Danio rerio: one gene and its partner. The protein of the gene in region 2 interacts with the protein of the main gene of each other region in a biochemical or structural test. Links are inferred from orthologs where the notes say so. Each region holds a gene or a part of one and is shown on either strand. Other genes may lie near its edges.

Region 1 (4,165 bases), on a different chromosome or scaffold from region 2:
TTTGGACTGTGGGGGAAACCGGAGCACCCGGAGGAAACCCACGCGAAGACAGGGAGAACATGCAAACTGAGACGAGGTTCGAACCAGCGACCCAGCGACCTTCTTGCTGTGCGACGACAGCACTACCTACTGCGCCACTGCCTCGCCTCTAATTGGATTAATAAAACCATAAATATACATAGATGCCTCTGCTATTTCTTTGGGCTGTAAGTTGTCTGCCAGATTGAAACTGCAAAGCCTGATCTGAAAACACTTGCAAGCTGACTTTGTATCTCCAACAATAGTTAAGTCCCGTTAAAATCTATCTATCTATCTATCTATCTATCTATCTATCTATCTATCTATCTATCTATCTATCTATCTATCTATCTATCTATCTATCTATCTATCTATCTGTCTGTCTGTCTGTCTGTCTGTCTGTCTGTCTGTCTGTCTGTCTGTCTGTCTGTCTGTCTGTCTGTCTATCTATCTATCTATCTATCTATCTATCTATCCATCTATCCATCTAATAGGCACAACTCGCTTTACCATTTTTCAAAAAACAGGAAGGAATTTAAAACAGGCTGTGCAATGCATCTTGTGGCATCATGAAAATCATTTTTTTTTTTGCTTGTGAATGACAACTAAATGACTTTTTCAATGGCATATGCATCAATGTGTCTGAAGCAATTTAATGCGGCATCTATATACACACACACACCTATATTTATAACATCATTTTTTCTACACACAGAATGAAGCTGTATGTTTTCTCACTTGGAATGTAAAACCTTTAAATCACCCCAAACCTTTCATTGAGGATTCAGCACATTTGGGTGTGATAATTATTCAATTATTCATGCAGTACATTATATCAAACTCTTCTTGACACACTGAAAAACATCATTGAAGACCCAAAACATAGTCAACATGAAAACTCTTGACTGTTGCACATTAATAGTTTGAATTTTTACAATATGGTTATGGTTCAAAATTAATTTTAATAAATTAAATTAATTAATTGATTTTTCTTGTATGTCATAACTTTTGAATTCATTTTTTTTTACGTAAAATACCATCTTGCATTCAGATTTTTTGTAAATTTACTACTGTTAATATATAAATACTTTTTTAAATTAGTAATATGCACTGCTGAACAATTCATAAGATGAATTTATCAGTATTTGGACTTTTTAACCCACTTATTACAGATAATGTTAATAATGTTTTATTTATTCATAAAAACCCTTAAAAATATAACATAGAGTAAACTTTTAGTAACATTTTAGTAACAGCAATCTTGTAATATTTTAATCAAATATTTATTAGAAAAAAAAAAAAAACAATCTGCTACCAATGGTAAGCTTGTAGAAAACTGAGATTAAACTTATGGTAGGCTAATTAACATAAAAACAACACAGCTTATTATAGTAAATCTATGAAATGGGAACTATTAAAGGACAAAAACTGTTATTAGCACATGTTCAGACTACATAACTTGATGACAGAAACTTGATGTGCATAAGGACGACATTTATTAAAATCATGTCTATTAGCAAAAAGTTTATTTAGTTGTCTTTTTGTTCTGCTTATGGTTTATACTCATTTAACAACCATCAAGAAAGTCATTTTCCAAGCGTGTGCTCGGGCCTTACCTGTCCAAACACTGAGCTGAGAAAGGGTCGCAGGTTGAAGTCTGCTTCGGAAGATGCTGCGCTGGACCTCGCTGACCTCCGGGAGGAGCGGCTGGAGGACGCGGGCACCGGCGAAGATGAGGCGGTGGAGGCTGGACCCACCTCTCTGCTCGTGGAGGAGCCCGGTCGAGCCGGCGGAGGAGACTCAAAAAAGAGCGACGTCTCGTCTCTAGACTCGGAGAAAGACTGAGTTCTGCTGGGCATGCGAGCGGCGTGAGAGTGCTTGGGTCGGGGCTCCTGGGGCAGGTCGTCCCGGGTGGAGCGGTGGCGGTGATGGTGATGATGACGATTGTGGTGGTGATGATGGTGATGGTGATGATGGTGATGTCGCCTGGTTGTCTTGCGCTCTTCTCCACCTGGAAGCTCCGACAGGTCCTCCTGACTGCGAGCCGCGGAGAGAGCGTGTCCGTGGGAGGGTTGTGGGTGGCTCTTCTCTGCGCTATTCCGGGTACCGACCAGTGAGGGGTGACACAGGGGTCTCCGCGAGCTCGCATCGCAGTCCGCCGGCTCCGCTCCAGATGCCGCCGCGGAGCGCTGATGCTGCGGTCGCCGATGATCGGGCGGCTGGACCGCGCTCCTGGCCGGTGCAGAGGATCTCAGCAAGGAGGTCGTCGATTCGCTTTTGGGGAGCGTGAAACTCATCCTCTGCCTTTTCAAATGCCCTTGAAGGTAAAGGCTGACCTCCGATGTGTCACATTATTATGGCTTGAATAGAATAGCCCGATGTAGAGAGCTGAGGGTACATCGGTACCTCCTCGATGGCATGTTGGGCTTGAAATGATGCTGTCGAGATGTTGGAGTTGGTGCCACCTGATTGCTCCGTAAGGCGGTGTAAGCGCTATTCTGGTAGGACGCGTAGGTATAAGGGGAGATGGGCAAGGAAATAAACCAAAAAAAGATTCAGAGAGAGAGAGAGAGAGAGAGAGAGAGAGAGAGAGGGAGAGAGAGAGAGAGGACACGAGGAGAACGTATGTTGTGCATCATCAGATGCCTGTGGGTGACAAGACAACATACAGTGTATGGACCAGAAACATATGGAAAGGATTTTTCACTCCGTTCATAAACAAAGTGGGCTAATTATAAAATGTGATCCTGCTAAATAAACTTAAAGTTTTAAAATTATTATGTTGAGCAAAATCCTTATCCCTTATGGTTTTATGGTTATTTGGACATTACACATATCAAATGAGTTTTTTTTACAGCCTACATAAAAGCAAAGTGCATTTTTATTATGCAAAATCATATTATAAAAAGGTCAATAAAATAATGTTTTTATAATGGACGTCATTCATTCATTCATTTTCTTTTTAGCTTAGTCCCTTTATTAACCTGGGTTGCCACAGCGGAATGAACCACCAACTTATGCAGCACGTTTTTACGCAGTGGATGCCCTTCCAACCGCAACCCATCTCTGGGAAATATAATAGGCATATGTTTAATGGGAAAAAAATATTTAAATATAAAAATGTTTTATTTACTTTGAAAAATGTTAGAACCATTGGCACATCCCCCCAGGAAACTCGAAGAGGTTTGTGACAAGTGAAATTTCAGTAATGATGATGACAGAATTTTCAGTTTTGGGTAAATGAACTATCCCTTTAATATTTATTTTTTTCCTGTCAGTGTAAACTTCTGAGGTAACAGGTTGATCTGATAAAACATAAATAAATTAGTTTATAATGTATGTTTAATTCAATACCTGTGTTTAATATTTAATTACATACTGTCATAAACCTCTGAGATGACACAAATAATAAAATGTCTAATGTAAGACTTTTAATTTAATTAAAACGGAATGATGCCTTTTTATTAAGATGTATGTTTAATGCAAAACCTGTGATGAATATTTAATATGGTAAAGCTCTGATCTGACAGCTTAGCCTATTAATAAAAAACAACAATCAAATACTTTTATAATACATGTTTAATGGAAAAAAAAACATGTATTTAAATTTCAATGACCTGTAGGTTATGTAAAAGTCTGAGCCAACATTGTTTTTTTCTTTTCTTTTTTTAGATAAAATGAGAAATTAGATAAATATAGAAATTCAGATAAATGTTAAATGAGAAAACAAATCTAAACTGTAATTATATATAATGTTTACTTAACTAATGTCTGACAACTTACAATAAAAAAAAACCTGGTTTATCACATAAATACATGTTTATAATATTCATTAATGCCTTGTTTATGTAAAATTATAAGGACAATGTTTATTAGATAATATAAATGCAAACATATTAAATACATTTGTTTACAATACACGCTTAATTAATAAAAAAAAAAAATATATATATATATATATATATATATATATATATATATATATATATATATATATATAATGTGTAATGTAATGTAACAGGTGAATATAAATTAAACAATTTAACAAGAGTTTATATTCAGCCTACATTATCCAGAATAAAATTCACAACTCACAATGACAAGCAAAAATACAAAACATAGCAATGCAATATGAGATTCATAAAAG
Region 2 (3,657 bases):
AGATGTGCCTGGGTATCAGGGTTTACTTAAAAGTCTATTTAAAATCTTCCTACATAGAGACCAAAACAAAAACTTGCCGAATGACAAAAATTAAAAAAAGCAAATTAACAGTATGTTATTGTGTCCATTTTTACAACAATCTATGGTGTCCCCAGAAAGTGTGCGAAAAAAAAAAAGTTTTCATGCACGCTTTTTATATGCAAATAAGCTGCAACTCTCTTTCCAGAAGAGGGCAGTGGCTTTACAGCACATACTTCAGATACCCCAGCACAACAAACAAAACCTGAATCCATTTTTAAGCCTAGTTTACATTTTTTGTTTAGAAAATTCTGAATGATATTATATAAAATGTTTTGAATAAAATCATTACGAATAGTTACATTTCTGGATATGGCGACATCCTATTACTAACAATCAACTCAACACAGCCTAGACCAGTTGAGCATAACCTGGGTGGGAATCACCAGTGGTGTAAAGTAACTAAGTGGAGAATCAGTACTTTTACTCCACTACTTTCCTTCAATCTGCAGTCACTATTTTACTTTATCTTGTCTATGGGGATTAGAAAAATCAGTCCTGTGATTCCTGTCCAATCAAATCGCACATAGAAGGTAAATCGCATTATAATGAACAACCTCAAGACATGTTGGTGACGTATAATTGCAGCAAACCATTTGGAAGCATTAAAAGTGATTAAGAAGATGTCCGAAATCATCTTTACACACATTGACCCAGAGACTGTTTAGATGCATGTCACTGAAGAGAAGATGATGGATGTTTACTGTTGTTTACATGACGTCAGATTGACGTTGTACCCCAACATTGCACCATCGTGGGGATGTTGCATTTTGTTTGGAAATGAAAACTGGGTTGATGTCAGAATGCCGATGTCAATGTCCAACGTCCAACCTAAAATCAACCAAATATCAACGTCTAATGATGTTACAGCTTGACGTTGTGTGGACGTTACTACTATGAAGTCTATCAGATGCTGGATTTTGGTTGTCATACCTGATAAATAACTGTCAGTAACTTACATCAATATGACGTGGGGTAAGATGTTGGCTCAACGTTGGATTTTGGTCACTTTCTAACACAACCTAAAATCTACCAAATATCCACATCTAATGATGATACAGCTTGATGTTGTGTGGATGTTACCACTGTGGCGTCTACCAGATGTTGGATTTTGGTTGTTATACCTGACGAATAAATGTCAGTATTTGACGTCAATATGACGTTGGTTTAAGATGTTGGCTCAATGCTGGATTTTGGTCACTTTCCAACACAACCTAAAATCTACCAAATATTAACATCTTTTGATGTCATTTTTGAATAATGTTGTCCTTAGACGCTGGCTAGACATAGAATTTTGGTCACCTGACATCTAATCTAATCTAATATTAACATCTTATGACATAGTGTGCAGAATGTTAAGTTTAGACACATCCTCAAATTACACTGAAATGCATCAGCTTTTTACAGCATAATACTCACTGCTCACTACTCCTGAATACTTTTGAAAGGTCTACTCTTTACTCATACTTTGAGTAATATTTACAGCAGATACTTTTACTCTACTTGTAAGTAATGGCACTTTTACTTAAGTATGATTTTTTAAGGACTTTCAACCACTGGGAATTACATTCAGCAAAAGCAGCAGCAACATTCAAGATAGTTCAAACTAGTGTACAAACAAATAATAATATGACTCTTGTAAACAAAATGCTCTAATATATTAAACATAAATTTATTGTGGATTTAACAGACTATGTGAAAACTGTGGAAAATCATATACCACAAAAAGTTCTTATGTACAGATGTGATTGTATGTGTGTACCTGATGTGCAAGAATATAGATGTTGTGTCCAACATTGCGAGGCGATGCTGCATGATCCTCTCCATTCTCCTGTTCCTCATCCTCAAACTCTGCCTCCCCCTGCTGGTAGGCCATTTTCATCACCTCCACCTTAAACATGAACACAGTCAGGATTGTATAAATGCTGTTGTGACTTACCATCTGCTTACATAGTATGATTTCAGTTAGCACAATGAGTGCAACAGAATGTACAGTGATAACTCACTAGTTCTTTTGGTCTCATGTTGTACAGAATTCTTTCTGCATTCTCACTGTCATGACGGCTCTCCATGATGGCCAGCAGCAGCTTAGATGCATTATTCTGAAGAATTAAGACAAATGATGGTTCACAAGATACAATTTTAAAAAATATCTGAATATTTCAAAAACTGAATATTTAACAGATATATTAAAATAAATAAAATTAAATATTATTGAAACACAATATTTTACTGAAATAATATTATTACAAAAACATTCTAGAATTATGGAATTTAAATATTTATAATAATATTATTTGTTAATTTTAATATAGCATAAATCCTAGTTTTTGTAAAAAAAAATTGAGCAACTTTTTTCATGCAATTATTACAGATCTTCCAGAAATATCTTGAAAGCCTTAAAAAAAATTCAAAACGTCTGAAAAATTTCTGCTTTACAAGTCTTTAAAATTACACAAACTTCAGAAACTACAACTGAAAAGTATTGTTACTTTGTCAATTGAGTGTAAAATGATATACCTTTAGTTCTAGAACCAGATCCATTCTCTTCCTGCCCAGTGGATTAATATCATTCAGAATCAGTGCAATAATGATGTCGATGCCATTAGACTCATGGGTGGCAATGCAATTCTGTTGAATATGGTAAGTATGAGTGATAGAAATATGTGAAATAACTGAAAAATTGAAGTGTGAGTACATGCCTGATTGTCATGGCAGGGACCTTGACAGTATTCAGTGAGGCTCTCTACAGTCTGATTAATGAGCGCTACGTTATGCTGGTTGATGTAGAGTCCTAACAGCCCCAGGCCTCCTGTTGTGCTGCCACAGATACAGTCCAGGAACTGCAGCGTCTCACACACCAGATTATAGTTGTTTTTATTGTTCTGACAGCGCAGAAAATTCTGTGGGGAAAAGAGGAGAAATTATAGGCTGAATTTGACCATACTCAACGGTATACAACACACCCAATAATTTACTCTGTCATGTGACTGGTTTCAGGTTCCTGATGTTTAAGAAAACAAATGTGCAAGACAGTTCTCAGAGGTAATTTTACAAAATCGGTTTGAGGAGTGACTTTCTCTCAGGTGTTTGCAGATTTCTTAAAACAAAATAACAGATGTATAATGTAAAATAAAGTCAAAATTATTAGGCCTCCTGTAAATTGATTTCTTTATTTAAATATTTCCTAAATAATGTTTGTAGGAATAAAGAGCAAGGAATTTTTCACAGTATTTCCAATAATGTTTTTCTTAAGTCTTAACTGTTTTATTTTAGCTAAAATAAAAGCAGTTTTAAAACCATTTTAAGGTCGATATTATTAGCCCCCTTAAGCTATATTTTATAAATCAGTTTTTTTTTAAGAAATAAAGATTTAGTTGAGTGCAAACGTATTTAATGCACGTTTTTAGAATGTATGTGCATCTTAGTGTTTCCCTGCGAAATCCTTAAGTGCAGTTTTAAATAAATAATTGGATGAAAACAGCTAAAGACAGATTTATTGAACCATTCAAAACAGATTTAACAATTTATTAAAAACAGATTAATTCAGGAATAAAATAAAAAATAAAATGCAGTGTT

The links.
Region 1: the proteins of itpr1a (region 2) and cabp1a form a complex in vitro, tested with the Homo sapiens proteins (2 studies listed by BioGRID). The link is inferred for Danio rerio from reciprocal best matches to the Homo sapiens genes ITPR1 and CABP1.

Annotation. Positions count from the first base shown.
Region 1 is NC_133183.1:48,381,904-48,386,068, forward strand, and holds the start of cabp1a (calcium-binding protein 1a), read right to left. Parts: upstream 2,948-4,165; 5' UTR 2,316-2,947; coding exon 1,635-2,315; intron 1-1,634. UniProt on the Homo sapiens protein: Modulates calcium-dependent activity of inositol 1,4,5-triphosphate receptors (ITPRs). Inhibits agonist-induced intracellular calcium signaling.
Region 2 is NC_133181.1:42,526,536-42,530,192, reverse strand, and holds part of itpr1a (inositol 1,4,5-trisphosphate-gated calcium channel ITPR1), read right to left. Parts: intron 2,982-3,657; coding exon 2,781-2,981; intron 2,710-2,780; coding exon 2,599-2,709; intron 2,181-2,598; coding exon 2,085-2,180; intron 1,970-2,084; coding exon 1,841-1,969; intron 1-1,840. UniProt on the Homo sapiens protein: Inositol 1,4,5-trisphosphate-gated calcium channel that, upon inositol 1,4,5-trisphosphate binding, mediates calcium release from the endoplasmic reticulum (ER).